Linked DNA regions of Canis lupus familiaris. The protein of the gene in region 1 interacts with the protein of each later gene in a pairwise test. Links are inferred from orthologs where the notes say so. Each region holds a gene or a part of one and is shown on either strand. Other genes may lie near its edges. The genes, in order: UBQLN1, TMUB2, TMCO6, LITAF, UBE2V1, mitochondrial dynamics protein MID49-like and HSD17B12.

Region 1 (4,118 bases):
CTGACACACAGCAATTTCCCTTAACAAGAAAAGGCTCAAATCTATGCAATACTTGTTATATCTAAGTATACGAATATTCTAAAAGTTTCAAATGATAAAAATGTTTTCTAAGACTAGAATATATGTTGCCTGAATATTTCAGAGAACTAGATTTCAAAATCTTTTACTATAACCTAGAGCACTACAAAATCCCGGAACAAGCTAATTAGACACGTTACCTGGAAGCTCCCTTCTGCTCTCTGCACTAATTTTAATGAACGAATGACAACAGAAAGCACTTTTCAGAATAAAAATTCAAATGTCATCAGAATAAGTTGCTTCGGAAAAGCTTTAATTTAACCAATTTACTTTGGTTACAGAAAAGTAAAATTAAAACTCCCACAGGCTTTAAAATTCTAATGTCACTCTCACACACACAATATATATATAAATCCTAACAGACAGTACCTCATAAAATAACTTAAATGTACTTTTCTATTTATAAAATATTGACTCTTTCCAATCCTTTACAATAAAATGCTGAAAGCAGGCATGAAGGTGGAGACCTGAATTAGCAATCCTAGAAAGAAGATCTAAGGGCTTCAAAAGCTAATATACCTAGCAGAGCTAAAATGAAAAAGACTGACACTATCAAATGCTAGCAGGGATGTGGAGCAACAGGAACTCCCAAGAACCTTTGGTAGAACCTTTGGTGGAATACCGAATAGTATTCCATTGTAGGGGAATATATCACATTTTACTCTTTATTCATCAGCTAAGGGGTTGTTAATCATCTGGGTTGTTTCTTTTCGACCAGCCTTTAAAAAAGAGCGATAGAAGCTCTTTTTAAAAAGACAGTTTCTCATAACTAAGCCTACAACTACGCTATCACCCAGTCATTCCACTTCTAAGAATTTTAACAGGAAAAACTCCCTCTGTCCAACAAAAAAAGTTTGTATGTTCACAGCAACCAACTGCAAGAAGCCCATGTGGCCCTCAGCAGAATGCATTAATTAATGGCATATTCACACAGTGGAAAACACAGCAATAAACAGGAATTACTGGCATATACAAGAATGCATCTCAAAAACATTACACTGAGTGAAAAGACCTTACCCAACAGAATATATACTATATAATCCCACTTATGTGAAGTTCTAGAACAGGCAAAAACTAATGGTGAAAAAAATCAAAACAGTGATGTATGGAGGGGAGTGATTGAACTGTAAAGTTCTACATCTTGATAAAACTTTGGATCATATAGGTGTATTTGTTGAAAACATTTAATGATACTTGCAACTTACTCTAAAATGCATTCAAAAAGTAAAAGGAAGTAATACATGATTAGTTGCGTGATAAAGCAAATAAAACAAAGCGTCAATTGTAGGTGACGAACTATGAATGTTCACTGTACCATTCTTTCAACTCTGCTAGATGTTAGAAAATATTAAAATGTTAAGAGAAATTTTTATACAATTGGGGACCCCCCCACACACACACACACACAAAAGGTGATTCAGTAGGTGGTAAAAGTTTCTCAGTTGATGGTACACTCTACTTACTGCTCTACTCTATTTACACCACTATTTCCTGCTCTACTCTACACCACCTTTCAGAACGATTATGTAAACCAATATCCCATTTACAGTTTATGAGAAAACTTACATGTACATTTCACATTGTTGTTCCCTCAAACTGTTCCCATTTTAGATCGTCAGAGGTCAACAACTATGCAAAATATTTTCAACAATAAGCTACAACAAATTTGTTGAATTCTTCAAGATTCTTAATTGAACAGCAAAGTTTGTACACCCGAACCCAATTTTAAGCAGTAAATTATCTGGCAATATTCTCCATTAACTCCAATTTTGTTCTCTTGCATTCGACTGCCACCGCTAATATCTGCAAAACGTGGCTACCATCCCTCTAAAATCAAACAAAAACCTTCCCGATGACTGGCACCTAAGGGATGATAAACACTAAAAAGAAAACCGCAAGTCATCAATGAAAGTCATCCACCTTTCTTCCTTAAGGCTAGTACTATTAAGATGTGGCTGAAAACGATTTCTACGTCATGGTTAATTTTTTTTTTTTTTTGAAGATTAGAAGGTAGAAAAGATTTCAGCAATCAAAACGCAGAACTAAATGTACACGTGCTCCTCGCCCCAAAATCGACCTTAAGCTGCAAGCAGGTGAAACAATGGGCACCCACCCACCCTTTTTTTTTTTTTTAACTCAGGAGACAAAACCGCAGAGGAGGCTACCGCGAACCCTCGCCCAGCCCGGCCTCCACCCCGCCCGGAGCGCGGCGGTGGTCCCTTTCCTTTGTGAGCAGCGGGAGGGAGGCGGCGGGGGGCGGGGGGCGGGGGGCGGGGGGCGGGGGCTGGGGCGGGGGCTGGTGGTCCGCGGACGCGGGAGCGGGGGGAGGGGGCGGCGTCGGCGCGTCCCACAGCAGGCCGCGGGGCCCCGCCACAAGCCTCTGCGGTGTCCCAAGGAGCACACCCGGCAACTTGGGTGTGATCTGATTCGGGGCGAGACCCGCGAGGCGGGCCGACAGCACCTCGGGGGACGGTCTCCTCCCGCCGCGGGCGGAGGTCCCGCCGCCACCCCCACCCGGGCCCGCGGCCAGGGCGGCCCTCACCTGCTGCACGGAGCTGTTCTCGGGCACGGCGAACTCCTCCTTCTCCTTCGGGGTCTTCACGGTGACTTTCATGATCTTGGGCTCCGCGGACGCAGCGGCCGCGGGGGCGCCTGCACCTTCGGCCGCGGCGGCGCCGTCCTGGGAGCTCGGAGGGCCGCCGCTTTCACCACTCTCGGCCATGGCGGCGGCGGCGGTGACTCAGGCGCGCAGGAGGGAGCGGGCGAGCGAGGGGGAGCCAGCAGACGGCAGAGCCGGCCGGCCCGGGCAGCGGAGAACGCGGGGCACGCCGCCTCAGTGACAACCGGTGCGGGGCCGCCCTGGCAGGCGAGGGGCCGCGGGGCTCGGCGCGGGCTCCGGCGCAGGCCCGGGCTGGGCGCTCGGCAGCCGCCGTGAGTTCAGACGCCGCTCGGTCGCAGCGACATCCGCAGCCGCCGCCGCTCTTCCTCCTCCCCGCCCCTCCCCCCACGTCCCTCGGCCGGCGCCGCGCAGGGCACGCCGGGTAAGTCGGCTGGCGGCGTCGCCGAGTCATGCCCGGCCAGCCCCGCTTCCAGCCCCGGCCGCCTTTCTTTCCCTGTCCCGGCTCCATGGCCCAGAGGGTAGGCGCAGCCGGAGAGGAGAGCTAAAAGCAAAATGGGGCGGGAGGGATCAGTTCATTTCATTTCATCCCCTTGGCTAAAAAACAAATTAGCGTGTTCTGGGAAGCACGGTAACGGCGCGCGGTGATGACCTCACGCCTAGCGAAGTTACTAGAAAGGAGCTCGACCACTGGGCGACGCGGACGCGCCTGCGCGCTGTGGTTCGGCGGCGGCCCCCGCCCCCTGCGGACCCCGCGGCGGCCGTGCCCGGCCCCTCCGCGCCGTAGCGCTCGCCTCGCCTTTGCGCGCACCCGGGACCCCGGGGAGGGCAGTGGGAGTGCCGGGTGTCGCGGTAACAGCCGTCCGCTTGCCCACTTGTGGCCTTTGAGATGCTTGCCCGTACTGCCCGGTGCGCGGGAGGTGGAAGCTACGTTAATGGAGGAAGGCGCTTCGTCGTAACGAAGGAAGAGTGGGCCGTAGCCACCCTGCGCGATCCCGCGGAGTCACTGCCCCGCGGCCCGGGCGGCCCGCCCTCGGGTCAGCCGGTTGGGTCTGGCGATCAGGCCACCTCTGCTGACAGGCCGCCGCCCCCCGCCCGGACAGCCTGCGCGAGCGCCCCGGATTCTCTGGACGCTGCCCCGCAAAGTACGGGGGCAGAAACGGGGGCCCAAGGGCTGCCCCCCCCCCCCACCTGGGGCGCTTGAATGAAGCCGAGGTGTTCGTTTTACATTCTGTCAAGTTATTCCTGCAGTTCAGATTTTAGGTTCAAAAATCCTTTTTAGTAGAGTGTGGGTATAAATAATTTAATTATCTCCCCCCCCCCTAGAACTCGGGCTTTGAAATGACGTCATTTGCCTTTAAAGATGACTTGCAAGGAATATAGAACCCAGGACATTAGCTTTATTAATCAGTATTGCGCAAAT
Region 2 (4,255 bases), on another chromosome or scaffold:
CCTAAAGGGCTCAGTTGGTTGAGCGTTTGCCTTCAATTCAGGTCATGATCTTAGGGTCCTAGGATCAAGTCCCACATTGGGCTCCCTGCTCACTGGGGAGTCTGCTTCTCCCTCTACCCCTCCCCAGTGCTTGTGCTCTCTCTTTCACGCCCTTGCTGTCTCTCAAAGTTTTTTTAAAAACCATCTAGAAATGGTTAAAGTGGTAAATTTATGTGTATTTCACAATAAGACTTGGAAAGAAGAATAAGTCAGATGGCTTGATTCCATTCATACAACGTGCAAAAACAAAACTCATCTATGGTAACAGAAGTCATAATAGTGTCTATGCTTTGTAAATTAGTGCCTGGAAGAGAACATGAGGGGGGGGTGGCTTTGGGATCATTTTCTATTTCTTTATCTGAGTGCTGGCTCTATTGGTGTGTTGGTGAAAACCACTGAACTCTTATGAATTTGCCTCGTCTGCCTTTTTTATACTTCAATCAATAAATAGTTCGTCAGAAAACAACAAAATCCTAACATGTCTTTTGAAGAAAAAAATTTTTTAAGACTTATTTATTTTGGAGAGAGAGAAAGAGCAAGGGGGAGGGGCAAAGGGAGAGGAAGAGTTCCAAGCCGACTCCCCGCTAAATCTGGAAGCCCCTTGGGGGGACTCAATCTCATGACCCTGAGATCATAACCTGAGCTGAAACCTTATTTATTCATGAGAGACACAGAAAGAGAGAGAGGCAGAGAGAAGCAGAGGGAGAAGCAGGCTCCATGCAGGGAGCCCCGATGCGGGACTCGATCCCAGGACTCCAGGATCACGCCATGGGCCGAAGGCAGGTGCTAAACCGCTGAGCCATCCAGGGATCCCCACCTCGAAAGAATTTTAATTGCAATATCCGGCTACGTTTTTGGAGCTGAGCCTTTTTTTTTTCTTTCTGGGCTTCTTTTCTTGGGCCTTAAGTCTGCGCTGAATCTGTGCCTTCTTTGAAATGCTTTCTCGCCTTATTTACCAAGGTCTCACACTACCTGGGGCCGCAATCTTGGACCACCCGAATGGTGACTAAATGGCCCCGTCTTCTTACTAGCCCTGAGTTGAACTTTTGGAGGTCAGAGAGCCCAGTCCCTACTGATCTCGCTAACCAGGAGCTCAAGGCGCGTTACAGAGCGATAATAAACCCAACCAGCCCGGGAGGCTGGGAGAAAGACCGGAAGAACACGCCGGGACGAGGCAAGCGCCGCTCACGTTCTGCCCGGCTCTGCCAGCACGCGGGTCTTCCAGACGCGAAGCCACGCCTTCTCCCAAGCACCTCCCCAACTCCATGTGGCCCCGCCCCTCACTCAGGGGCTCTTTAGGCCCCGCCCACTGAGCGTGGCCCCGCCCCAGAAGGGCGCTGATTCCGCCAACAATAACCCCGCCCCTCCTTCCGCTGAGAAACCTGTCCCTATTGAAGAATACGCTTACGTCAGCCCGCCTTACGTAGACTTACGCCATCAGTGCACAGCGCGGAGGCGGGACTTCCTGTCTCTGATTAAAACAGCTTCCGGGAGAAGCCGGAAGAGACGGGACCCTGGACAGAATCGGGGATACCAGCCCCTCCCCCGGCCCCTACGGAAAGGTGAGTCCATGGGCCGTCCTAGCGAAGTCAAAACACTTAGTCTGGCCGTTTCAGGTGAGGAACGCCTTCCCTATCCAAGCACAGTACCGGTTCAGTCCTCCTTTAATTTCCCATGACTCCCCGCGCCCTCAAGCCCCGCCCCCAGGCCCCCAGCCCCGCCCCGAAGTTTGAGGGGTGTGGATGGTTTGTGGCCCCCTCACGGGTCTCTACCCCTTACGGGCCGGGAGAATTGAGCTTGGCGGCCAGGGACCAGGCAGCCTTTCTCTCGGGTGGGTCCACGGACTCCTCTCCAGCCCCGCGGGAATAGGGCCGCCCCACGCGGAGCCTTCGCCTCAGAAAAGGCAGGGTCGGGACCCCTCCTCACCGCGCGGTCCGGGTCGCCCACAGACTGAGAAGACAGCAAAGGCCTCTGAGGCAGGAGACCTGGGGTCCTGCCTGGCCCCTGCCCACGAAAGTGCCGTGTGTCTGTGCCAGTCGTTTTCGCTTCTATTCGCTGCAATTTCCTTTTCTGTAAATCAGGGTCGGTGACATTAACCTTCTTACCATTAGGGGCTAGTTGTGGAAGCGATAAGTAATTGCTACCATTTATTTATTGAATCACTGCAATGTGCCAGACACTGTGCTAAGTATTTTGCTTCGATGATTTCCCGTCACCGTCAAAACAACCTTATGAGGTAGGTACTATTTTTAACCCCATTTTACTGATGAAAAAGCTGAGGCCCTGAGAAAGTTGTCCGAGGTTACAGAGCTAGTAAGAGGCAAGGCTGGGATTATAATTAGGCTTTTTGTTTTTTGGTGGTTTTGTTTTTTGTTTTTTGTTTTTACTCCAGGGCCCATGTTCTAAATAAGGATGTGGAAGCTATTGAGATGTTGATATGTCCCACAAGTATTCTTTTAGCAGCTACTATAGCATTATACTGAGCACTAGGGTACATAAAAAAATACATGGTGATCCTTGTCTTCCAGAAGCCTAGTAGGGAGAGATGGACAGGTAGATAAGTATAATGAGGTTTTTATAGGTATTGTGAGGATAGTCTATTAATGATAATCATTGGATTGGATTTGCCTGGGGACAGCTGTGAAAGCCGCACATTCTCCAAGGGAAAGAGAAGGTACTCTAAGGAGCAAGCCCAGGTCCTTCTTGCCTTTCTAAGAAATTGCCAAGGGAAACCTATACAGTACATGAGGAGAGAGAGGGATATGGTTTGTGAGAGCTGTTTTGGAATCTTTTCCAGATCCTTTCCACTTAGGTGGTGGTTTTGCCGTTGTGAACCTGTGGTGACCCAGGAGGGTAGTGTTTCTCGTGCCTGTCCTCCTTTGCTCCCTAGGACTTTCAGAAGAGTTTCAGAGGTGGGCAGACAACAGTGCCTGCTGCATAATGTCTGCTGCTGGCCCCTACAGATGTGTCCTTTTGGGATGGTCTATGCTTCTGACGGAAAATTAAATTTTTGGTTCTTGACATCAGAACCTGAATACGTGACCGTGAATGAGGTAGGGTTCAAATGAGACATTCTGGCAAGAGTGGCTGCACTATGCCTCCAGAAGACCCTAAAATAAAACATTTCATAGTTTTTGGTCTTTCTGAAGCCACCTTGGAGGCTTCTCAGGGGGGCATCATTGCTAGACCAAGTGATAGAAATCCCAGAGGAGGGATCCCTGGGTGGCGCAGCGTTTTGGCGGCTGCCTTTGGCCCAGGGCGTGATCCTGGAGACCCGGGATCGAATCCCACGTCGGGCTCCCGGTGCATGGAGCCTGCTTCTCCCTCTGCCTGTGTCTCTGCCTCTCTCTCTCTCTCTCTCTCTCTCTGTGACTATCATAAAATTAAAAAAAAAAAAGAAAAAAGAAAAAAGAAATCCCAGAGGAACTGAGGGCGCAAAAAAGCAAAAAAATTTTCCCCCACCTACAAAAAAACAACAGCCAGTTGCAGCAGCAGTCACCAAACAAAGCCACGAGGTTTTCCTGGTGATCCGTGCTCACTGGGAGCTTGAAATGTGAGAGGGGGAAGATGTGGAACCTGAAAGCTAGTGTCTCACAATAGAGGCAAAGGGTTAAGTCCTTAGCTTTAGGTTGGAGGTCCAGAGGTAGGACGGTTTGTTCTCCCTTCTACAGGACACCGAATTCTATTTTCTTTCAGCACTGGGTCAGTTAGGACCTAAACAAACTAGGAACCTGGTTGCAACCCTATATACCCTGCTGATGTTATGCCCCCCTTTGTTCCTGCAGTGTCGACCCAGTCAGCAGCCAGGCCATGGAGCTCTCTGATGTCACCCTCATTGAGGGTGTGGGTAATGAGGTGACTGTGGTGGCAGGTGTGGTGGTGCTGATTCTAGCCTTGGTCCTAGCTTGGCTTTCTACCTACGTAGCAGACAGCGGTAGCAACCAGCTCCTGGGCACCATTGTGTCAGCTGGAGACTCATCCGTCCTCCACCTGGGGCATGTGGACCATCTAGTAGCAGGCCAAGTCACCCCAGAGCCAGCTGAACTCCCCCATCCATCAGAGAGTAATGATGAGAAGGCTGAAGAGGCTGGCGAAGGTGGGGGAGACTCCACAGGGGAGCCTGGAGCTGGGGGTGGTATTGAGCCGAGCCTTGAGCATCTGCTTGACATCCAAGGCCTGCCCAAAAGACAAGCGGGCCCAGAAAGCAGCAGTCCAG
Region 3 (4,159 bases), on another chromosome or scaffold:
CACAGGCAGAGGGAGAAGCAGGGTCCATGCAGGGAGCCTGATGCAGGACTCTATCCTGGGACTTGAGGCTCACGCCCTGGGCTGAAGGCAGGCGCTACTGAGCCACCCAGGGATCCCCTCCAATAAAAATTCTTAAGTGCTACCAGGACTCTATTCTGTTGGAGGTGTGAAGGGGGTTTGGGGAGGAAATAATTACACTGTAACTTCATGACAGTAAAAAAGGTTATGAAGTATATGGTGCTATAGGCTCTTAAGACAGGGACAGAGGTCCAGTAGTTCTGAGTAGGGGACATTGGGAATTGAGATATTGAGGGTGGTATTAATTAAGGGAAGGGTACTGGTTGGGGGGCCCCCAGGCAGAGACAGAGCTCTAGGCAGAACAACAGCCTGGGCAAAAGCCTGGAGAAGGAAAAGAGTAGGGTTTGTTTAGGGAACAAAGAGAAAATCCCAGGAGAGGTGAATAAGGCGAAGTGCCCTTCCAGTGAAGAAGCTTATTTTGTCACAATGCAGATTCTGAGGGTGAGGAACACGGTTTTTAAAAAATTCATCAGTGTTTTCCCAGTAACTAGTAGTTAGCGGTGCTCAAAATTTGGTTTAAGATTTACTTTATCCCTAAAATAATGCGAATCACTTTGGGGCACAACAGTGAAATAATTGTATTTGTCTCATTTTCTTCATACGAACATAATAGGGATAATTGTCGTCGTGGAGAATATTCAAAAGGGAAATACAAATCCAGCGTTCATCAGTTGGAGTCCAGTTTTGGGTGAAATCTTCCTAGAATTCGGAGTAGTTTTGAATGTTCGTCTAGGGTATGTTATGTGTGGGGAGGTTATATTTGTTGAGTGGAAGGTGACGCATTGGACCCGTACGACGTTGAATTTCTTCCCGGAAATGGGAAAAAGAAAGACGTGAGGGCGCCTGTCTTGGGCTCAGGGCGTGATCCTGGGGTTCTGGAATCGAGTCCTGCCTGGCGCTCCCTGCAAGGAGCCTGCTTCTCCCTCTGCCTGTGTCTCTGCCTCTCTCTCTCCTTCGGTCTCTCATGAATAAATAAATAAAATATTTAAAAAAAAAAGAGAGAGAAAGAAAAGAAAGACTTGAGAAGGAGAAATACCAATCAGAAGCAGAGGAGGTGCTGCGGGTCTCGCCCGCTTCTAGCTGTCGCCCCGCCCTTCCCTGCTCTTGCCCCACCCCATTTTCCCCTCCCTTCGCCCCGCCCCTCCCGCGGTCCGGCCCGCCGCACCCCTGGCCCCTCCTTCTCGCCCCGCCCCGCCTCCATTCTGAGCACCTCCTCTGAGCGCCCACTCGCACCTCCTTTTCCGCCTGCGCGGCGGCTGCGCGGTCCGTGCAATCTTGTAGGTTCGGGCTTCCGGGTTCTGGGCTCGGAGCGAATTTTCTCCAGCTCCGCTATGTGGAGCGGCCGGCAGGGCCGCCTCAGGCCGGTGGGCTGCGCAGTGGAGGAGCTACGGTGCCGCTGGAGGGAGCGGGAGGCAGGTGCGGGAGGGCGAGGGAGACGGGAGGATGCGGGGCGCGGTGGTGGTGGTCTGGCGGTTGGGGTTTGGGTGAGGGGGCCTCCGGGTCGCTGAAGGGATTCAGGGTCCTAGGTGCCCCTTCTACGTTCAGCCGGCTTCTTTGTCCCCAGCGCTGCGGAAGGCGCGGAGGGAGCAGCAACTGATCAGTAAGAGGCTGCTGAGAGATGACGCCCTGGAGGAAACTGAAGGGGGATGTGTGGCCATGACCCTCGGAGAAGCCGAGGTGAGGGGACCTGGTACGCGGTGAGGTCTACGCCGCCGGGCGCCAAATTCCTTTAGAGGTCCGCGCCAAACCTGAACGCGGTCTCCTCAATAAATACCTCCATCCAGTGGGCCAAGCCAGAAACTGGGAGATCATCCTCTACAACTCTGTCCCTTGTCCCCACAGCAGTACGTCGAGCCCTAGCCGTTCTTCACCCCTAAAGAGCCCTGGCACCTTTACGATGGTGTACATCGCAGCTACCACCATCCTCTGCTCCGTAGACTAATAATTGCCTTCTAACAGGTCATCTGCATCTATGCTTTGCGGACTTCAAGTTCATTCTCCATATATCAGATGTCTTAAAAATCCACATCTGCTTCCTTCCTAGATGTATGATCTAACGTTTGCCTACCTCCAAGTTTGCCAGTTTACTCATCTGAGCCAAAGTTCCCCCTTTTCCATTTTTGAAAGACATATTGGGCTCTTTCCTATCTCAAGGCTTTACTGGGTCCTTTTTTGTGTTCTGTCTTGACAGCGTGTTTGCAGAATATAAATTGTACTAATTGTTTGCTTGTTTATCGTTTCTCTAACTAGACTTTAAAACCCTGGGAGTCTAGACCCCATCTTACTTTTCATTGAAAACTCAGATGCCCTATAGTATCTGGCATATAGTGGATGCTCATTATTTATTAAGTGAATGACATGATTAGTTTTAGCTGATTTATTCATTCAGCAAGCATTAGGTACTCCCCTTATTTATATTGCCTGTGTTTATGTATGTTGTTTACATAAGCTCTCATGCCTAGGTTATACCATTGGTTCATTTTGTGCTTACTTTATGCCAGGACACTGATGGATATTGAGGTACACAGACAAGGAGAGTCCCCCCCCCTTTTTTAAAGATTTTATTTATTAGAGAACAAGAGTGCACCCCTCGGATGGGAGCTGGGGGAGGGGGAGGTCAACAGGGACCCCATCCCAGGATCCATGGGATCATGGGATCATGACCAGAGGCTTAACCAACTGAGCCACCCAGGTGCTCTGTGGAGAGTCCCTTTATTTGCGGTCCTAACAGCAGCCCAGTGAAGACACGTGCTACCACCTGTCATGAAGGAAACATGAGGCACAACAGAAACCCCTAAGTCTTCGAAAGGAACCCAGAAAGGGCTTATTTCCCAGATATCTGAAGGGAGTGGAGGGCCTGGGGAGGGTATCCCAAGGAAAAAAAAAAAAGTGTGTGCAAAAGCTTGGAAGCATTAAAAGAACAAGTCACATTATGCTAGGTGTTGTTGGAGTATAGGTTGCATGGGGAGAATGGCTAGTGGGGTAGGTTGTGCCATCCTGAAAGGTTTTTTTTTTTTCTATTTTTATTATTTCTATTTTTTTATTTTAAAAGATTTTATTTATTTGAGAGAGAGAAAGCACAAGTGAAAGCAGAGGCAGAGAAACAGGGAAAAGCAGACTCTCAGCTGAGCAGGGAGACCACATGGGATTTGATCCTAGGACACTGGGATCATGACCTGAGGCACCTAGGCATCCCAAGAAAGGTTTAAATGTTATCCTTGAAATAGCTCTAAGACAGCAGGGAAGATGTTATTCCCATTTTTCAGGTTAAAAACAGATTTAGGGGACACCTGGGTGGCTCAGTGGTTGAGCATCTCTTCTGCCCAGGGTATGATCCTGGGGTCCCAGGATTGAGTCCCACATCGGGCTCCCCGCAGGGAGCCTGCTTCTCCCTCTGCCTGTGTCTCTGTCTCTCATGAATAAATAAATAAAGTCTTAAAAAAAAACAGATTTAGTTCTTGTAAAGGAAGTGGCAGGGCTGGTATTAAACCCAGTTCTGGGATCCCTGGGTGGCGCAGCGGTTTGGCGCCTGCCTTTGGCCCAGGGCGCGATCCTGGAGACCCAGGATCGAATCCCACATCAGGCTCCCGGTGCATGGAGCCTGCTTCTCCCTCTGCCTGTGTCTCTGCCTCTCTCTCTCTCTCTCTCTGTGACTATCATAAATAAAATAAAAATTAAAAAAAAAACAAAAAAACAAACAAAAAAACCCAGTTCTGATTCGCCCTTCTTTCTACTGCAAGATTGATGCATATTAGCCACGTTAGTGTGAATGACAGGTTCTAGAGATGGTGGGACATTGGAGTGCTCACAGGTGAAGTGGGCAGAGTAGGACTATGCTTGCTTTCTGGCAACTTTGTGTTGCTGTCTCTCCCCTCCCTGCCCTGTGCTCCAGATCCAGCAGTTCCTCGGGTTAGCGCAGCGGGGGACCGAGGAAAAGGAGAGAGAGAAGGCTCTGGTCAGCCTTCGTCGAGGCTTGCAGCATCCTGAGACACAGCAGGCCTTCATCTTGTGAGTGGGGGTGGCGTGAGTGGGGGCCTGGGCCTCTGAGGGATGGACAGGAGTGTGGAGGGGATGGGCCACA
Region 4 (3,926 bases), on another chromosome or scaffold:
GCAGCTGGATTCTATCACTGGAGGATGGTCCAGTAGGATCCAGGTCTATGAATCCCTCTCGAGTGGCTCATAGGCTCTTCACCCAAGTGGCATTTCTCTAGATGGCCATATTAGGGTTCCTTGCATCTCCAGGACTTTGTACTCTGAAAGCCACACAGGCTCCTTAATGCCTGGTGAGGACTTCTCAGAGTCCCCTGCTGGATCAGGGCTGCTGTTAATACTCTAGCAGGCAGGCTCTGGTCAAATAGGCAGGCAGCACCCATTTAGGGGCAGAGGATCAGATACAGACTTCCAGAGCTTTTAGCCAGGGAGAAAGTACCTAGGGGTGGTGGACCACCCTGGGGGCCTAGGAAGTAGTAGCACAGCAGATTGGTTTTATTTAAGACCTAATCTGTGCTAAACCCTTCTCGGTGCATTCTTAGACTTTATGAGACAGGTACTGTTATGCCCATTTTATACACAGGAAACCGAGGCCCAGAGGAGTGCGTGACTTGCCCAAAGGCACACGGAGTATTTCGGGCTGTGTGGATGCGTCTGAATGTGCAGGACTGAGCACTGGGGAGAGAAAGGCCGCCCTGCGGAGGGCAGGCAACCTTGGACCTGGGACTGGAGGCTGATGGGCCCCCGCTGCCTGAGGGTAGGGAGGAGGAAGGAATGCCAGAGATGGGGGGCCTAGGGGAGCGGGGAGAGCTGGAGGCGGGAATCAGGACGCGGAGGGGAGGGGATCGACTTGTAGGAGCGGAATCCCCAAGGGGCGACCCAGGACCGGACGATGGGGGGCTCCGAGGTCAGCGGGGGCGTCCCGGGAGTGAGCCGGGTCGGGGTGTACTCTGCGGGGTGTCCCGAGGGGCGGAGGGGAGGGGCAGAACCCGGAGGGTGGGCAACCTCGGGCAGGGACCCCGCCAGGCTGCGCTGGGTGGGCGAGGAGCAGGGAGGGGCGGGAGCCGGAGCTGCCCCGCCGCCGGCCCCGGCTCGGCTCGGCTCTGCTCGGCTCGGCCCGGCCCGCCCCCTGCTCGCCCCGCCCCGCTGCGCGGCAGGCCCCGCCCCCAACCAAGGATCGCCCCGCCCGCTGCTCGGCCGGCCCCGCCCCCGGCCATGACTAGCCCCGCCCCCTGCGCGGCAGGCCCCGCCCCCAGCCTGGGATCGCCCCGCCCCCTGCTCGGCCGGCCCCGCAGCTCGGCTGCACCGCGCGCTCAGACCTCCCGGCTCGACTGGCGGCGCGGGCGGCGGTGAGTGCAGCGCGGGCGCGGGCGGGCGCGGGCGGGGGCGCGGGCGGGGGCCGGGCTCGGCGGCGTGAGCCCTGGCCCCGGGCTCGGGAGCAGCCGCCGCCGGGAGACCCGGGGCATCGCGCGGGCCCCGGGGGTCGGGGCGGGCTGGAGGGCGCAGGGGTCCGGCCGAGCTGTTCCGCGCGGGGCCCGCCGGCGCCGGCTTCCCCGACCGCGGGACGGGCTGGGTTCCCGCCCTGCGCCCCCGAGTGGGCCGGTCGCCCGCGCTGGGATCGTCCCGGAGAGTTCCCGGACGCCGGCCTCAGACCTTCGGCTTCTAAGGGCCGCCCCCGCCATCCTGAGCCGGTGCCTTTGCGGGCGCGCGGGCGCCTCGGGAGCCCCCGGGGGGAGCGGACCGAGCGCGAAGGCAGCCGTGGCGCCGGCCAGCCCGCCTCCCCGCGGGTCAGGGGGCCCCGGGTGAGTGCAGGGGTGGCCCAGGCCCGCCCGCTGCCGGGGTCGGCTGGGTGCTGGCGGCACGGGCTGGGGGCTGGGGAACCCGTGGCAGAGGTGGGCGTCACCCCTCCCCCGCCAGGCCTGGCAGGTGAGCTGCTCCCCTCTGCTCTGCAGGTCAGACCTGGGCAGTGGGGTTGGTGTTGTGTCCGCACCTCCTGGTCAAGGTCAGGAGATGGGGAAATGGGCATATTCTGGAAAGGGCGGTACATTCCAGGCATCAGGCCAGTTGGACCTTCACTGGTTTTCTGGTCACTTTTGTGCTTCTGATTCATGGGGCGGATGTCATTACTTTTTGGACTGACATTTGGTGTTCAGGGAAACCTGGGTTCTGGAAGCCACCGGCCTCCCCTTCCTAACCCGTCAGGTTAGACTCTCCCACCCGGCTTCCCAAGAGGGGTAAATCCCTCCGGTTGGCCTCGTAGCCTGGTAGCCTGGTGCTGGTTGAGGGGCTGCCTGGAACGCGGGTTAGCCCTGCAGTTCCCCTGGGGCCCTTGTAAGGAAAGACATGGCTTGTGTTGGTATATGCTTGACTACCTCGCTTACCTTCCTACCCCCACCCCCAGCCTTTTCAGGGTACTTCTTTTAAAATAGGACGAACCGGGCTGCCATTGTAAAGGGAGGCATGAGCTGGTATCTGGGACTCCACCACCGTGTTTGGTTTTATCATAGTTGGATCAGAATCCAGAGAGCAGGTGACTGGTTCTACCTGGCATGGAAACACCCTATGCCGCACTTGGCTTAACTCTAAGCCGGCCTTTGTCTGGGATCTGAATGTGCACCAGCCTCTCTAAGAAATACCTAGTATGGAGGAGGCCCATCTTCCCTCTTTCCTGTTACTTCAAGGCATCAAGAATAGGTGCTTTCATTCGTGTTTGGAAAAGTATCCCTGTCGTGTTATTGTGGATTAAGTGACTTGGGTGATTGATCTGAGACAGAGGATCAATTTCTTAGATCTCTAAAATACTAGATAATTTGGTGAGTGGACCTCCCTCTGCTCCTTCGGTCCCTTTTATGGGCTGGCTGTGGGGGAACAAAGTGCTACCCTTGCCCGTTAAAAGACACAGGAGAAATGGCTCCTGGCCCTGAGGGGTCTACACTGTGGGTCGAAAATGGAGACACATGCAGGTGAGAAATTCAGTGCTTTCTAATGCCTGGAAGGATCTTGAGGGGAGTGGGAAGGAGGGAGGTGTGAGCAAGGAGCCAGGATAGTCACAGTGGGTTTAGTAACAAAGCTGAGGCCTGTGCTTCTGTGGCAGAAGGGGCAGGTGGATATGGGGAGCAGCATTCCAGAGGCACAGAAGGGTCTCGGCAAAGCTTCAGAGGAGGCACAGACAAGATGAGGGTTGGACCATAAAAGGGGAACCACTGGAGGGAGGAGCCAGAAGGCATTTCCAACCCAACCTAAGTTAATTTTCAGAGAGATCAGCAGTACATACTCTTGCTGTTAACCACCCCTACAGAATGGAGGCATGTATGATACCACTCTAAGAAGGGGCTAGTGCCCATCTGGAACTTAAAATTCTCTCACCAAAGACGAATTTTTTTTTTTAAAGATGAAATTTTTTAAAAAAGATTTTATTTATTTATTCATGAGAGGCACAGAGAGAGAGAGAGAGAGAGAGGCAGAGAGAGAAGCAGGCTCCTCAACGCAGGGATTCTGATGTGGGACTTGATCCCAGGACCCCCAGGATAATGCCCTGGGCCGAAGGCAGGCGCTCAACCACTGAGCCACCCAGGCATCCCACACCAAAGATGAATTAACCCAGAGCTACAGTGATGGTGAAAGAAAGAAGGCTCATAAGAGGAAGTCCTAGAGCCTTGGCACCACGTACAACCTGTCTTGTATTTCTTTATGCTTTTACTGCAATGACAGTAGCCCAGTGGGAGAGGTGGTCCATCTCATCAGGTAGACAGACCTCCTTAACTCTGCCTGTCGCTAGTACAGACATGTTGATGATGTCTTCGGTGCCCACTTGGCCTGCCCTGGTCTGTTCTGAACTTGTTTTCTTAACCTTAAAATTGTTATTTGTGCTCAGAGTGGTGCTTTCCTAGGTCCCTGCAATTTCTTCTTACTATTTTAACCCCTATTGGTATTTTGGGCCGCTTTGGCAACACTTCCTTGGCTAATATAGTTGTCCCTCGGGTGCACATGACTTCAGTAGAACTGTGTGTAGTTTCACAGGCTTTAGTTAAGACACCAACAGAAGA
Region 5 (3,934 bases), on another chromosome or scaffold:
TGGATGAAATAGATGGAGCTGAGAAATGCTTAGGAGGCACTACTGTCAAAACAAGGTAATGCACGGGATGTCCTGGATAAGGGCTTCCGGTTTCCTTGCTCCTCTGTACTGGAAGTCCTTGTCCTTCTTCTGCCAGTGTTTAGCTGTGTGACCTTGAGGCAGTCCCTTCACCTCTCTCAGCTTGTTTCTAAATCCACATCAGGACTTCTTAGACCGCTTATAATAAAAGATCAATCCCTTCTTGGATTTAACATACATTTGCAAATATGTGTCCATAGGACCTTTGCACATGCTGTTCCCTCTACCTCTTAATCAGTCTCTGCTGAATGTAACCACCTTAGGAGGCCCTCCCCGACCACCCCCTGCTGCCCCTTCCTAGGTTCAATCTCTATCCTATCATAGTTATATCTTTTCCTATTTCTTTGTTAACTAGCTCTCTGACTAGAATGTAAGCCTGTAAGAACAGACTTCAGGGATGTATATCCATTCCCAGGACCTAGCACAGCGCCTGGCACATAGTAGGTCTTAGTTAAGTATTTCTTTGGATGAATAAATGGATGAATGAATGAATGAATGAATGAATGAGTGGAATGCTTTCCTTGACACCTTAATGCCCCAAAACAAAGCTTCTCTGGCCCAGGACTCTGGCCGGGTTTCAAATTCTGATTCAGCCACCTAACCGCTAAGTTTAGATAAATCGCTGAACCTGCCCCTCAGTTTCATTTTTCACATTAATCCCGACCTGGTAGAGATATTGTGAGGATCCAACTAGACAAGGAAATGCACGAAGTAAAATAGGCTTTCTTTTCTTTTTTTCTTTTTTAGCTTTCTTCTGTATCTTCCACAATCGCGTCCTCCCAAGTCTGATCACCCTTGCCTTTCTCACCAAACACCTCAGTATCTCCTTCGCACCCGAGCCTGGAGGAACATGCAGGTTGCCGGGCCCTCCCGCACGCACATCATGTTTCCTTCCTCTGAAAAGGCAGGGAAAAAAAAAAAAAAAAAAAAAACCTTCCCGGCAACGGGTCGCGCGGTCCGCGGAGCGGGCGTCAGCAGCGGCGTCTGCGCAGGCGCGCACGCTTGCGCAGAACGGCCCGGGGACGGGCGGGGGGTGAAGAAGGGGCCGGCCTTCGAGCGACAGCGACGCAAGATGGCAGCCACCACGGGCTCGGGTGAGCTGGGGCGCCGGGCCCGGCTGGCCAAGGGGGCGCGGGCTTGGGCCGGGGACCGAGGACCCGCAAAGGTCCCTGCGGCGGGACCAGGGCCTCTGCGTTACCTCTGTCCGCTTGGCTCCGCGGTGGCGAGCCGGGCGGCCTGAGGGGGGAGGAGGAGCAGGCGGTGGCCGGAAGCACGGGCGGGGGCCTGAGGGGCCTGTGGGCGGCGCGGCGGGGCCCACAGGCTCCCCCGGGCGACGTGAGGGCCCGGCTGAGAGGAAGGACCGGCCCCAAGGCACCGCTGAGCGGCCGGAGCTAGCGAGGGGCGAGCCCCGAGGCATTCCTGAGGAGACGGAGGCTGGCGGCTCGGCGGGGACCAGGAGGTCTCCTAGGGGATGAGAAGGCTCCCCGAAACGGATGAGAGTCCTTTACTGGGTGCTGGAGGTCCGAGCGACGGGGCAGCCCCGGGATGTCCGTGTGGCAGGGACTTGAGAAAAGCCCTTAGGGAGGACGGGAGGAGAAAACGGGGTCTCGGGGGGTGACCGAGGATCCTGCATTGGTTGAGGGGACGGCTTCAGCGTTAGTTTGGGGGATGGGGTCAGCTGAGGAAATCTCCGTGTTGGTCGGGAAGGGGGCGTCTTGAGGTGGCTTTTCTGGGGGAAGGGGTATCAAAGCGCATCCCAACGGGACAAGTGAGAAGGGAAAAACGATCTCTCAGGTTCCAAAGGGATATGATCCCGTCATCATCAGGCTTTTACTTGAGGAGGATCAACTGAAGGAAGCTCCATGCAGTGGGTGAGAGTGAGGAAAAAAGTCCTGTTTCAGAGATTTTTTTCTTTCTTTCTTTTTTTTTGGGGGGGGGGGGGAGAAGCGTCCTCTAGAAGTGTCTGTTTTGTGGCCATTGTCACTCCCTAGCACTCCTTTGGATGTTGGTAAAAGATACGTGGGTTCAGCTCAGAGGTTCCCCATTTAGTGGATGGGCATGGGGAGAGGGACAAACGAAGACTCTGGATGACTTTGGGGCAGGAAAGCTGGACAAACCCCCATCTCCATGAAGCAGAAGAGGAAATAAAGGGAGCTGTACTTTGAGAGAGGGAGGTTCATCCAGTGCCTTGTGGTTTGAGGGAGGCAGCATTTATTCTGAGACTCGATTCCTTGTTCTGCACTCCTAGGATGGGCCGGAGGATCAAATCCTGAAGGGTCTGTTTCAGAGTTAACGTTCTACAAATGGACCTCAGGGGATGGACTCAGATGGCTTTCTCGAGGAGGAGGGGTAAAGATTGGCTGGGGGAGGTCCCCCAGAGGGGTTGATGAGGCAAGAAAGATTTTGGAAGTGCAGGATTTGGGGGAAGACTGAATGTCCCCCTATGGCGAGAGAGCTGTACTCTGAGGTACCAGGGATGTTGGCCAAGGAGGTCCTCACAGAGAGGGTGATGATGAGGGAAGCAAGCAGGGCCACGAGCCTGGGTACTCAAATCCTCTGGTTAGTTAAGGCCACAGCATCAGCACTGTTAAGAGAGGCTTGGTGACCTAAAGGAAACAGGGTGAAGGGAGTCCCTCTTTCCAGGGTGTTGCTCCTCTAGTACCCCCAAGAAACCATCCTTGTCTGTTACTGTAGCAATAGAGAGAATTGGCTCTAGGGGATCAGACTGAAATGACCTATCACAAGCTGCCTTTTATACTTAGAGCAGTGGGGTCCCCGATGAAGCATAGAGGAGACCACATATCCTTTTCCTAGATTTTGATTTTTAGCTGGAATAGTGCTGAGTCAACTCTTTTTTTTTTTTTTTTTTTTTAAAGATACTGCCACAGAAGAGAGAGGCTGAGTCAGGCCAGACTGCTGTGAGAAACTTCTCACCATAATAGCACCCCTGTCAGGTTGCTGTGAAGTGGGGGCTACAGTGTAACTGTGGCAGCCAGCATTATGGTCATATTGCAGCTCAGCCCAGTTTGCAGTCACTTGAGATTGGCTACCTACAATCTGGTTTAACAGCTACTTAATTCTAACTTCTTGAAGCCCTGCCAATTGATGAGTGCTTCATAAATGCTAATGCAGTCAGATAAAACATCGTCAACTCCTGTCTAGTGTCAAAAGCACTTGGCATGGTGTAGATAGCATAGAACAGGCTTTAAGGTGCTCTAAATAGTGGGCTTCCGAAAAGTCCTTTGTTTATTCAACACACATTTACTGAGGGCCTGTTATGTCCCACTGTGAATAGTGGACAAGATAGACATAGCCCCTGTCCTTGAGGAGCTTACATTCTAGTCAGGAGGAAAGCCATTCAAGGACTAAATAATTAAGCCAATTTCAGATAGCAGTGCTATGAAGGAAATTGTGTGATGTGATACAGAGTGATAAAAGTAGTATCAGGGAAGGCTTCTCTGAGACGATGGCATTTGAACTGATGTAAATGATGGAAGGAGCCAACCCTGCAGTGTATATCATAGGCAAGAGAGGTAGAGACAGTGAGTGCAAAGGTCTTGTGGCAGGACCAAGCCCGGTCTGTTGAAAGAACAGGTAAAAGGCCATAGTGTGCACAAGAGGCTTGTTAAGGAAATAAGTTGGGCAGATATGGCTTTAGGTTTTATTAAGTGTGAAGGGAAGCCCTCAAAGTGGCCAATATGAAGTAGCATTAGGTAAATACTCATTGAATGGATGAGTCTTAATGACAGGGTGCCTGGCTGACTCAGTTGTTAGAGCATGTGACATTCAAACTCAGGGCTGTGAGTTTGAGCCCCACATTGGGCAGGGAGCCCACTTTAAGAAAAAGAGAGGATTG
Region 6 (4,175 bases), on another chromosome or scaffold:
GGTGGCCCTGTCAATGAGCTGCCGGCAGAGTGACATGGATCAGAGCATCCGAAGCCTGTGTGGCCAGGCCAAGGCCAGGGGCAACGCCAGCCAGGTTGCTGGGGTAGAGAAGCAGGTGCCAGCTTTGGGCACTTCCCCACCCCCTCCCCCTGGGGCCCCACTGTCCTCCTCGGGCAGCCCTAGCTCTGAGCGGCTCAGCCTGGCCTTACCCGCTTCACAGCCAGGGTAGCAATTCCCAGCACGGCGGCTCCGCCCACGCCCAGCACCAGGCGGGCATTGGCCAGGAGGAAGTCCACGGTGCTGCCCAGGACCTCATCACGCTGCTTCCCCCGTTTCTGGGAGAACTCGGCCATGGTCTGTCTGCCTGTAAGAGGATGTAGACATAGACAGCTCTGTGGGGGGGCGGCCAGGCTGGCAGTGGGGCCGACCCCATCATGCTGGGGCTGTCGTGAGTAGAGCTGATGAAGGGAGTTCCTGGGAGTTTCTCAGGAGAAACGGTTTCTTGGGAGGAGATGGGGCTGCCCAAACCCCCACCTCTACCACACTGCAAACCTGCAAATAGCCCACCCACTCCCTAGACAAGGAGCTCATGTAGAAAGGCCCTGAGAGGGATCCCTGGGTGGCGCAGCGGTTTGGCGCCTGCCTTTGGCCCGGGGCGCGATCCTGGAGACCCGGGATCGAATCCCACATCGGGCTTCCGGTGCATGGAGCCTGCTTCTCCCTCTGCCTGTGTCTCTTTCTCTCTCTGTGACTATCATAAATAAATTAACATTTAAAAAAAAATTTTAAAAAAAAAAAGAAAGGCCCTGAGACTTGTGCCAGGTGAGAAAAGGAGGCCCATCTTCTCCATCCCATCCTCAAGGACCCCTGACATGACCTAAGATGGTGAAGTGAGTCTCATCATCGCTATCCCCATTTTAGAGAGATATAGGCTGCCGAACCACACAGTGAGTGGTGGGGACCTGGACCCATCCTGCAAAGTGTCCTGACTCTGGCCCACCCCCAGAGTCCAGTCAGTCTACTGGAGCCTGCAGCCAGCTCCAAGAGGCTGCTTCGTCCTGCTTCTTAACCGGGGCTGGGCATAGGCAGGAGGGAACTCTGGCCTAAAGAAGACACCGCCAGGGGTCCTAGCAGTCTGCCCTGCAGGGCCCCTCAGGCCTTTGACCTCAACAGAGGTCCCCCCGCCACCAGATCTCAATAGAGTAGCCCCTGGAGGGAGAGCTATCAAGTCAAAGGACAGGACGAGTGAGCTGGCCCAGGCTGCCCAGGGAGGCACATCAATGAAGGCTGAGGCCTGCCTGTGGGGGCAGCAAGCAGGGTAACTCCAAAGACCCCAAACAGGACATCTGGCTGGCTCCATCTGTGGAGCGTCTGAGTCTTGATCTCGGGGGATGTGAGTCCCAGCCCTATGTTCGGTGTAGATTACTTAAAAATAAAATATTTAAAATAAGTAGGTAGGGATCCCTGGGCGGCTCAGTGGTTTAGCACCGCCTTCAGTCCAGGGCGTGATCCTGGAGACCCGGGATCGAGTCCCACGTCGGGCTCCCTGCGTGGAGCCTGCTTCTCCCTCTGCCTGTGTCTCTGTCTCTCTCTGTGTGTCGTGTCTCTCATGAATAAATAAATAAAATTAAAAAAAAAAAAAGTAGGTGAAAAATAAAGACCCCACCCCCCATCCCAAACAGAGAACTTGCCCAGTGCCTCTGGACAGGGGCCTCTCTGGGCCTCTCAAGTTTGAGACAATGCAGGGGTAGCGGGGATGGGGGAGCAGCTGTCAAAGACTGGAAACCGAGGCAACAGAGAAGGGAAGATGAGGCTTTGTTCACCTGTAAAATGGCACAGGCGTGGTGAAGGTTTACACGTGGGGAACCCAGAACTATAAGGCTGGGTAGGCCTGGGTACTTGGGAAGTGGAGACAGAGATCCCACCCAGGCCTAGGCCCCCAAACTCCAACCTCTGGTTCTTCCGGGGGATTTCCTGCCTCAGGCCCTGAGAGCAGAGGGGGCGTGTGGCCGGGGTGCAAGCTGAGGCCCGGAGGACCAGTCAGACACCAGGCAGCGCTGTCTCTCTGCGGATGCCTGAACCAGATGACCGTGGGTTCGCAGCCAGCCCAGGCACCAAGGACTTCTGTCCTCTCGGATCCGCTGTGGGTGCCCAGGGCTCAGTTGCCAGGTGACGAGATGCCTAGAGCAGCTGAAGCCTGAATCACCACCGGAGTCAGCCCCAACCCCCGCCCCCCGATTTGCCCAGAGTAAAAATAGGACAGGAGGGCTCTGGGGCCTGGGCTGGTCAAAGGCTAGGGGAGTGCCCCACCAAGGCCCGGCGGCCGCTTTTAGTTACTTCCTCCTCGATGATCAATACTGCAAGCCATCTCCAGCGGAGCCCAGAATCCACTTGCAAAGTGTAAAAAGCTTTCAATACCTCCTGCCTGAACGGGACTCAGCCCAACCCCTGGCGGGGTCGCGCAGGCCGCAAACCGCAGCCTTCCAACTCCCGGAACGCCGAGAAGGCGCGGGTGGTTAAAAATAACCCGACTCCGCGCTGCCGGCCCGGCCCCCACCAGGCGCCGGGAGACGCCGGGAGACGCCGCCCGCCCTTCCCCTCCTCCGCCACACCTGCTGCCCGGGGCCGGGGCTGGGCCGAGCGCGCAGGAACCCCGGGGAGGGCCTGGGAGGGGCCCATCCGCGCGGAGGGCACCAGGCCCCGAGAAGTGCACTGAGGCGCCCAACACGTAAAGGGGCAGGCTCGACACTGGAACTCCGGCCCGGGGCGCAAAGCCCTTCCCCCCTTCCCCGGCCGTGACCCGGGCCCCAGCGGAGACCACGCCCCCGACCTGCGTCCGACGCACGCTCCACGCCCCGGTCTGGGGGACCCGGGCCGCTCAGCCGCACTCCGGTCGCACGGGCGTCGCGGCTTCGGCGCAGCGACCGCAGGACACAGCGGGTGCGACCCTGGGTCCTGAGCCCGGGCCCGCCTGGGAATGGAACTCGGAGGACCCGGGAACCGAACCCCGAGGCCCCGGGGGCGGCCCTGACCTCCGACGCAAGCAGACGAACAAGCCCCGGGTCCAATCGGAGCGCCCGAGGCCCCGCCCACGTTCCAAAATACTGCGCGGCTCAGCCAGTGAGGAGCAGGCCACGCCCCCCGCTGACGAGCGCGGCCCCTCGGGGGCGGGCCTCCCGGACGCACTCGGGCTTAAAGGCGCAGGGCGGGGTGGCGACCGGGACCCGGGTCGGGATGAGCCGGACCCGAGGGCCTGGTGGGAAGCCGCGTGTGCTCGCATGGGAGGCTGCGGAGTAGACAGAACTGTCTGGGCTCGCGTTGTTTCCGGGGCCCGGCAAACAGGTGGTACCTGGCCCGAAGGCCCGCTTGCCTGACCCTTGAGGTCACCTCTGAGAGCGCAGTGTGGCTTTATTATTTTATGTTGGCGCGCGGGGCACACAGCGTGACCCAGGAGGCTGGCCCTGCCACCTGCGCCGTGTAACCCTGTGCGGGCCACTGCTCCGTTCTGGCCTCAGTCTTCTCTCCCCTGAAGTGGGTATCACAAGGCCCCTCCCCCCGCGAAGGGTGACCGTGCATAGAACCTGTGGCTCACTCGGCGTTTATTTCTTGGGGACCTATTATGTGCCGGCTGGTGGGGGCGCAAGGAAGTAAAGAGAGCCTGAATGATAACGTGCCTCTTATCGAGCGCCTGCTGTATGCTGCGACCTACACCTGAGTTTGTTTCTGGCGACAGCCTTAGGAAGCATTTCACAAATGAGAAAGCTGAGGCAGGAGCAGACCTGGGGTTAGCCCAGAGCCCTAGGACCCAAGGCCTAGGTCCGTGCGCCCCCGGGCCTGGGTCCCTAATCGCTGCAGAGGTCACGGCCGGACTCCAGCGGCTGCGGCTGCCCCGGGGGCGGAGCCCGGGCCTGCAGGGTCTGCGGCACCCCCCGCCATAGGTCGCTGAAATCAGCGTGGAGGTTAGAAGCCTGCGGGAGCGCAGGGGGAGCCCGGACTTTTTCCGAGGGCCCGGGGTCAGCGGACGGCGGGGGAAGCCGAGGCCCGGGGAGGCCCGGGGAGGCCCGGCGCTCCGGGTTCCCCGGGTGACGCGCGGGGCCGCGGCCGGGGCTCCGCCTGCCGCCGGGCCGGGCGGGGGCGGGTTAAAGGGGCGGGGCCGGCGTCGGCCCAGCCCGCGG
Region 7 (4,209 bases), on another chromosome or scaffold:
CAATTATCTACCTAATTTTAATCACAATTTAACTCTATTCAAGCGTCATCTCTGCTGCTTTGCTTGTCAAATTATTTCAGTGCATCCCTCCAACAGATACAAAGCTGTGGAAGACTTTGTTTTTCAAAGACTCCTTGAATTTGGAGAGGTAAAGTAAATATTTTTAAGTTCAGGCCACCACATATATGTAATGTTACAAATAACAAGTTATCATTTCTTCTGCTTAAGTACCTAAAGAACAGATTTTTCTAACAATCCAGGATAGACTGAACTCAACAATCACAAAGTCACTTTACAACACTATGATCCTCTCTATTCTATCTCAGCATTCTGGTCCAAATTTCTTTTCTAAATTTTTTAGACATTTCCTTCAATTTAGCAAGTATCCTTCCTCTGGGATCAAACCTTTTCAATGATGACTTAGACCATCTGAGTTATTAGTCACCGGGGCCTATTATATTTTAAATAGTTTTTTTTTTTTTTTAAGTTATTAAGGGGGATCCCTAGGTGGCGCAGCGGTTTAGCGCCTTTGGCCCAGGGCGCGATCCTGGAGACCCGGGATCGAATCCCACATCGGGCTCCCGGTGCATGGAGCCTGCTCCTCCCTCTGCCTGTGTCTCTGCCTCTCTCTCTCTCTCTCTGTGTGACTATCATAAATAAATAAAAAAAATTTTTAAATTATTTTAAAAAAAGTTATTAAGGGACACCTGGGTGGCTCAGTGGTTGAGGTCTGCCTTCAGCCCAGGGAGTGACCCCAGAGGTCCCGGGATAGAGTCCCACGGGATAGAGTCCCACGTGGAGCCTGCTTCTCCCTCTGCCTGTGTCTCTGCCTCTCTCTCTCATGAATAAATAAATAAAATCTTAAAAAAAAAAGTTATTATCATTACTCTTTGCTGACAAATCACAAAACTTCATCTTGATATGCGATTTCCTAATGCACTGGAATCTTGTGTAACTATCTCAAAAGTTCACAAGCAAGTTTTCCAAATCAAGAACTTAGGCAAGTCAATTGTGAAATCATAAACTCTATTATAATCAAGTTGAGCACTTCACTTCTTTTTCAAGGAATATCAGAAAACACTAAGAGACTTTTAAAAATAAGTATTATAATATGGGATCCCTGGGTGGCTCAGCAGTTTAGTGCCTGCCTTCAGCCCAGGGCCTGATCCTGGAGTCCTAGGATCGAGTCCTGCATCGGGCTCCCTGCATGGGGCCTGCTTCTCCCTCTGCTTCTCTCTCTCTGTGTCTCTATGTCTATCATGAATGAATGAATGAGTGAATGAATGAATGAATAAATAAAATACGTATTATAACGTGAATAGTTGCTTCACATCCTGGACAAAGCTCTTACACATCCATCCATTCCTGCTTGAAATCTCTTTACGTCGCTGTCCAAAAGGTTAAATTTCTTATGTTTTTTTCCTACTAACTTCTTTAAATGTTTTTGAATGAATAAAGTGAGGACTGTGGAGTTGCCTTATTTGTGTACTTACTTGAGCCTAGTCTGACAGCAATCCCTAATCACTCCTAGATTCAATCAAAATGCTAAGTGAGTGTACGTTCAGTCATGAAATAGCAGGATAATCGCAGACACAGAGACCGACCACAGCACACTACTTGGTTTAGAAGAAGAGGAGGAGGAGGAGGGGGAGGAGGAGGGGGAGGGGGAGGGGGAGGAGGAGAAAGAAGAGGAGGAGGAGGAAGAAGAGGGGGAGGAGGAAGAAACGAAAAAGACAGAAAAGCAACAAAGAAGAAGAAGAAGAAATGAAAGACAGAAAAGCAACAAAAAAGAAGAAACGAAAAAGTCAGAAAAGCAACAACAAAAAAAAGAAAGCAAGCACAAAACTTCGATGCAAGTGATTTCCCCACTTCTCCCCCGCGACCTTTCCCTTCCACCTCTAGGGCCCGCCAGCGGAATGGAACGAGGCCTTTTCCTATAAACCTCCTTCTGAAAAAAAAAAAAAAAAAATTGCTCCTGACTTCTACCTGGAGAGCAGCCGTGTTGCAGAAGCGGTGGCTCTGTGACACCGCAGGACTCCAGGGAAGTTTAGGACAATCGAGAACAAAACAAAACCCCGTAGATCCTACGAAACAGACCGAATCCAAATAACTGGGAGAGAGGCAAGTTTCAAAAAAAAAAAAAAAAAAGGCAGGAAGACTTGTGAAATTCCACGTCTTCTTCGTCCCTCCTCATGCCCCGCAAAGTCCACAGAATGCCTTTCGTCCTGCGCACGGGGCCACTATTCAAATCAAGCGAAAAACTTTATTAAAACACACACACACAGACACACACACACGCGCCGTCCCGGGGGCGAGCCGCCGAGCGCCGGGCACTGCCCGGGGGGCCGCGAGGTGAGGGGTCCAGGCCCCGCCCCCGCCAGGCCCCGCCCCCCGCCGCGGCCCCTCCACAGTCGGCCGGGCCGGGCCAGCCTGGGTCGGCCGGGGTCCAGCGGGCCCGCGGGGAGCGGGGGGGGCCCGGAGCGGGGCGCCGGGCTGCACTCACCTGCCCACTCTCCGAGCTGCGGCCCGACCCCTGCCTCGTGACTCAAACCCCAGAGCCGAAGGGCCGTGAAGAGCGAGCACGAGAGGCGCAGGGCCACGTAGGCCACGGTGCCCGCGCCGACCCAGTACAGGAGGCCGGCGGCAGGAAGAGCGCTCTCCATGGCTCCAGCCGGGCCTTACTACCTCCGTGAATGGAGCCCCGAATGAATGAATCCAGGAAGAGGCGCGGGCCGTGACCGCGAAGACTACACCGACGCGCGCGGCTCCGGCGCCGCTTCGAGCCTAAGCCCCGCCCACGGCGCCATAGCCGCGCCGCCATTGGCTATCCGGCGCGCCCTCTGCGCGGAGCGCGTCAGCCATTGGCTGGCTCCAGCCTCGCTCCCCGCCCACGTCGCTCCCCCCGCCCCCCGGCGCGGGTCCCCTCGGCGCCGGCTGATCGCCCGCCTGCCAATCCCGCGGCAGCCCCGCCCCGCGCGTCGCCACGCCCCCGGGATGCCGCCCGGCTCACCCCACCGCGTCGCGCCGGCCGCTGATTGGCTGCGGCCGTGCTCACGCCTGCGGGAGGCTGCGCTCCGATTGGCCCGCGAGACCCGGCTGGGCGGGCGCCCGGGACTCCAGGGGGCGGGGTCCGCGATGTTGCGAATGAATGGAGGGCGGTAGTAACAGGTGGGCGGGGAGGCGCGGGCTGGTTCCCACCAGGGGCTCTATCCTGCCGTCAGGTGCACGTGCCGCCGTCGCCCTCGTGAAGTTTCCCGGGTCGAGGCTCGCGTCGCGCGCGTCTGTGCCTGCCGCGGCGGGCACCTTCCCCCGGTGACCCGCACGGGGGCCTTCTAAGCGCCGCGTCTCCGAGGCCCTGGAGTTCAGGGCAAATAACTCCATGGACCCAGGTAAGGACCATGGACCAGGTAAGGACCACGCACGGGGACATAGGAGCTGGAAGATGAACGAGAAATTGAGGAACACAGGCTGATGAATAAGGAGTTTGGGGAAGAGACTCCATGACGATAGAGAGGTTTCTTTACTCTCTTTTTAAAAATCTAAAAAAAAAAAAATTTTGGAGGGGGTGGGGAGATAGAAAAGTGTATGGACCTAGTAGAGATAAGAAAATCACCTTGGCAGAGCTCCACAAGGTAAGCGCGAGCACCTGTGTAACGTAATAGACTGCTTTGCCCTCCCTCTCTCGTCCACCCAAGAGTTTTTGTTTCCTTTTTCGGGCATGGATCTGGGTTCATATAAAATCCCTAACATTTTCTTAGCCGGTAGGGACTGCTGATTTCGAGGCTTTTTTAAAAGGCACGAATTGAAGGGTAGTAATTGTAAGAATCAACAGCCCGACATATCCTGAAGCTAAGGTAATAATGTCCTAATATATGTGCTTTCAGAGCCTTAGCCCTCTGCCCAGCCCCCCTACTCTTTTTCCACCCTCTCATCAGATTAATTAACTATAACCCTGAGGCTGTTACTGTTCTTTATAAACTGTCAAGTGTCTAGCAGAAATCAGCCGTGTGAGTCGAGCAGGCACATTGTGTTTTGATTGAATTTGACACCTCGGCCGAGGCTGCCTGTCCAAGTCCATGAAATTCCACCATTGCTCTGTCTCAACCTCGCCCTCCAGCCAGTCTTCACCGCAGTATAGCCCCTGATGCATGTATCCTGATTCATCATTGCTCACCAACTAAGGGCCCTCAAGATATCTGAGCTCCTTAC

The links.
Region 2: the proteins of UBQLN1 (region 1) and TMUB2 interact in binary tests that used the Homo sapiens proteins (3 or more experiments, as listed by UniProt). The link is inferred for Canis lupus familiaris from reciprocal best matches to the Homo sapiens genes UBQLN1 and TMUB2.
Region 3: the proteins of UBQLN1 (region 1) and TMCO6 interact in binary tests that used the Homo sapiens proteins (3 or more experiments, as listed by UniProt). The two-hybrid records come from large-scale screens. The link is inferred for Canis lupus familiaris from reciprocal best matches to the Homo sapiens genes UBQLN1 and TMCO6.
Region 4: the proteins of UBQLN1 (region 1) and LITAF interact in binary tests that used the Homo sapiens proteins (3 or more experiments, as listed by UniProt). The two-hybrid records come from large-scale screens. The link is inferred for Canis lupus familiaris from reciprocal best matches to the Homo sapiens genes UBQLN1 and LITAF.
Region 5: the proteins of UBQLN1 (region 1) and UBE2V1 interact in binary tests that used the Homo sapiens proteins (3 or more experiments, as listed by UniProt). The link is inferred for Canis lupus familiaris from reciprocal best matches to the Homo sapiens genes UBQLN1 and UBE2V1.
Region 6: the proteins of UBQLN1 (region 1) and mitochondrial dynamics protein MID49-like interact in binary tests that used the Homo sapiens proteins (3 or more experiments, as listed by UniProt). The two-hybrid records come from large-scale screens. The link is inferred for Canis lupus familiaris from reciprocal best matches to the Homo sapiens genes UBQLN1 and MIEF2.
Region 7: the proteins of UBQLN1 (region 1) and HSD17B12 interact in binary tests that used the Homo sapiens proteins (3 or more experiments, as listed by UniProt). The link is inferred for Canis lupus familiaris from reciprocal best matches to the Homo sapiens genes UBQLN1 and HSD17B12.

Annotation. Positions count from the first base shown.
Region 1 is NC_049222.1:76,347,002-76,351,119, reverse strand, and holds the start of UBQLN1 (ubiquilin-1), read right to left. Parts: upstream 2,801-4,118; coding exon 2,621-2,800; intron 1-2,620. UniProt on the Homo sapiens protein: Plays an important role in the regulation of different protein degradation mechanisms and pathways including ubiquitin-proteasome system (UPS), autophagy and endoplasmic reticulum-associated protein degradation (ERAD) pathway.
Region 2 is NC_049230.1:19,083,157-19,087,411, reverse strand, and holds the start of TMUB2 (transmembrane and ubiquitin-like domain-containing protein 2), read left to right. Parts: upstream 1-1,455; 5' UTR 1,456-1,601; exon of another isoform or gene 1,602-1,655; intron 1,656-1,736; exon of another isoform or gene 1,737-2,150; 5' UTR 2,151-2,240; coding exon 2,241-2,275; intron 2,276-2,836; exon of another isoform or gene 2,837-3,087; coding exon of another isoform or gene 3,088-3,092; intron 3,093-3,824; coding exon 3,825-4,255.
Region 3 is NC_049223.1:34,924,537-34,928,695, forward strand, and holds the start of TMCO6 (transmembrane and coiled-coil domain-containing protein 6), read left to right. Parts: upstream 1-1,359; 5' UTR 1,360-1,409; coding exon 1,410-1,494; intron 1,495-1,623; exon of another isoform or gene 1,624-1,642; coding exon 1,643-1,755; intron 1,756-3,970; coding exon 3,971-4,086; intron 4,087-4,159.
Region 4 is NC_049227.1:31,518,769-31,522,694, forward strand, and holds the start of LITAF (lipopolysaccharide-induced tumor necrosis factor-alpha factor), read left to right. Parts: upstream 1-1,126; 5' UTR 1,127-1,229; intron 1,230-3,926.
Region 5 is NC_049245.1:37,222,839-37,226,772, reverse strand, and holds the start of UBE2V1 (ubiquitin-conjugating enzyme E2 variant 1), read left to right. Parts: upstream 1-1,134; 5' UTR 1,135-1,150; coding exon 1,151-1,172; intron 1,173-3,934. UniProt on the Homo sapiens protein: Has no ubiquitin ligase activity on its own. The UBE2V1-UBE2N heterodimer catalyzes the synthesis of non-canonical poly-ubiquitin chains that are linked through Lys-63.
Region 6 is NC_049226.1:41,511,469-41,515,643, forward strand, and holds the start of mitochondrial dynamics protein MID49-like, read right to left. Parts: upstream 2,801-4,175; 5' UTR 2,680-2,800; coding exon 2,613-2,679; intron 2,599-2,612; exon of another isoform or gene 2,419-2,598; intron 2,413-2,418; exon of another isoform or gene 1,824-2,412; intron 365-1,823; coding exon 210-364; intron 19-209; coding exon 1-18. UniProt on the Homo sapiens protein: Mitochondrial outer membrane protein involved in the regulation of mitochondrial organization.
Region 7 is NC_049239.1:26,448,243-26,452,451, forward strand, and holds the start of HSD17B12 (very-long-chain 3-oxoacyl-CoA reductase), read right to left. Parts: upstream 2,801-4,209; 5' UTR 2,664-2,800; coding exon 2,504-2,663; intron 1-2,503. UniProt on the Homo sapiens protein: Catalyzes the second of the four reactions of the long-chain fatty acids elongation cycle. This endoplasmic reticulum-bound enzymatic process, allows the addition of two carbons to the chain of long- and very long-chain fatty acids/VLCFAs per cycle.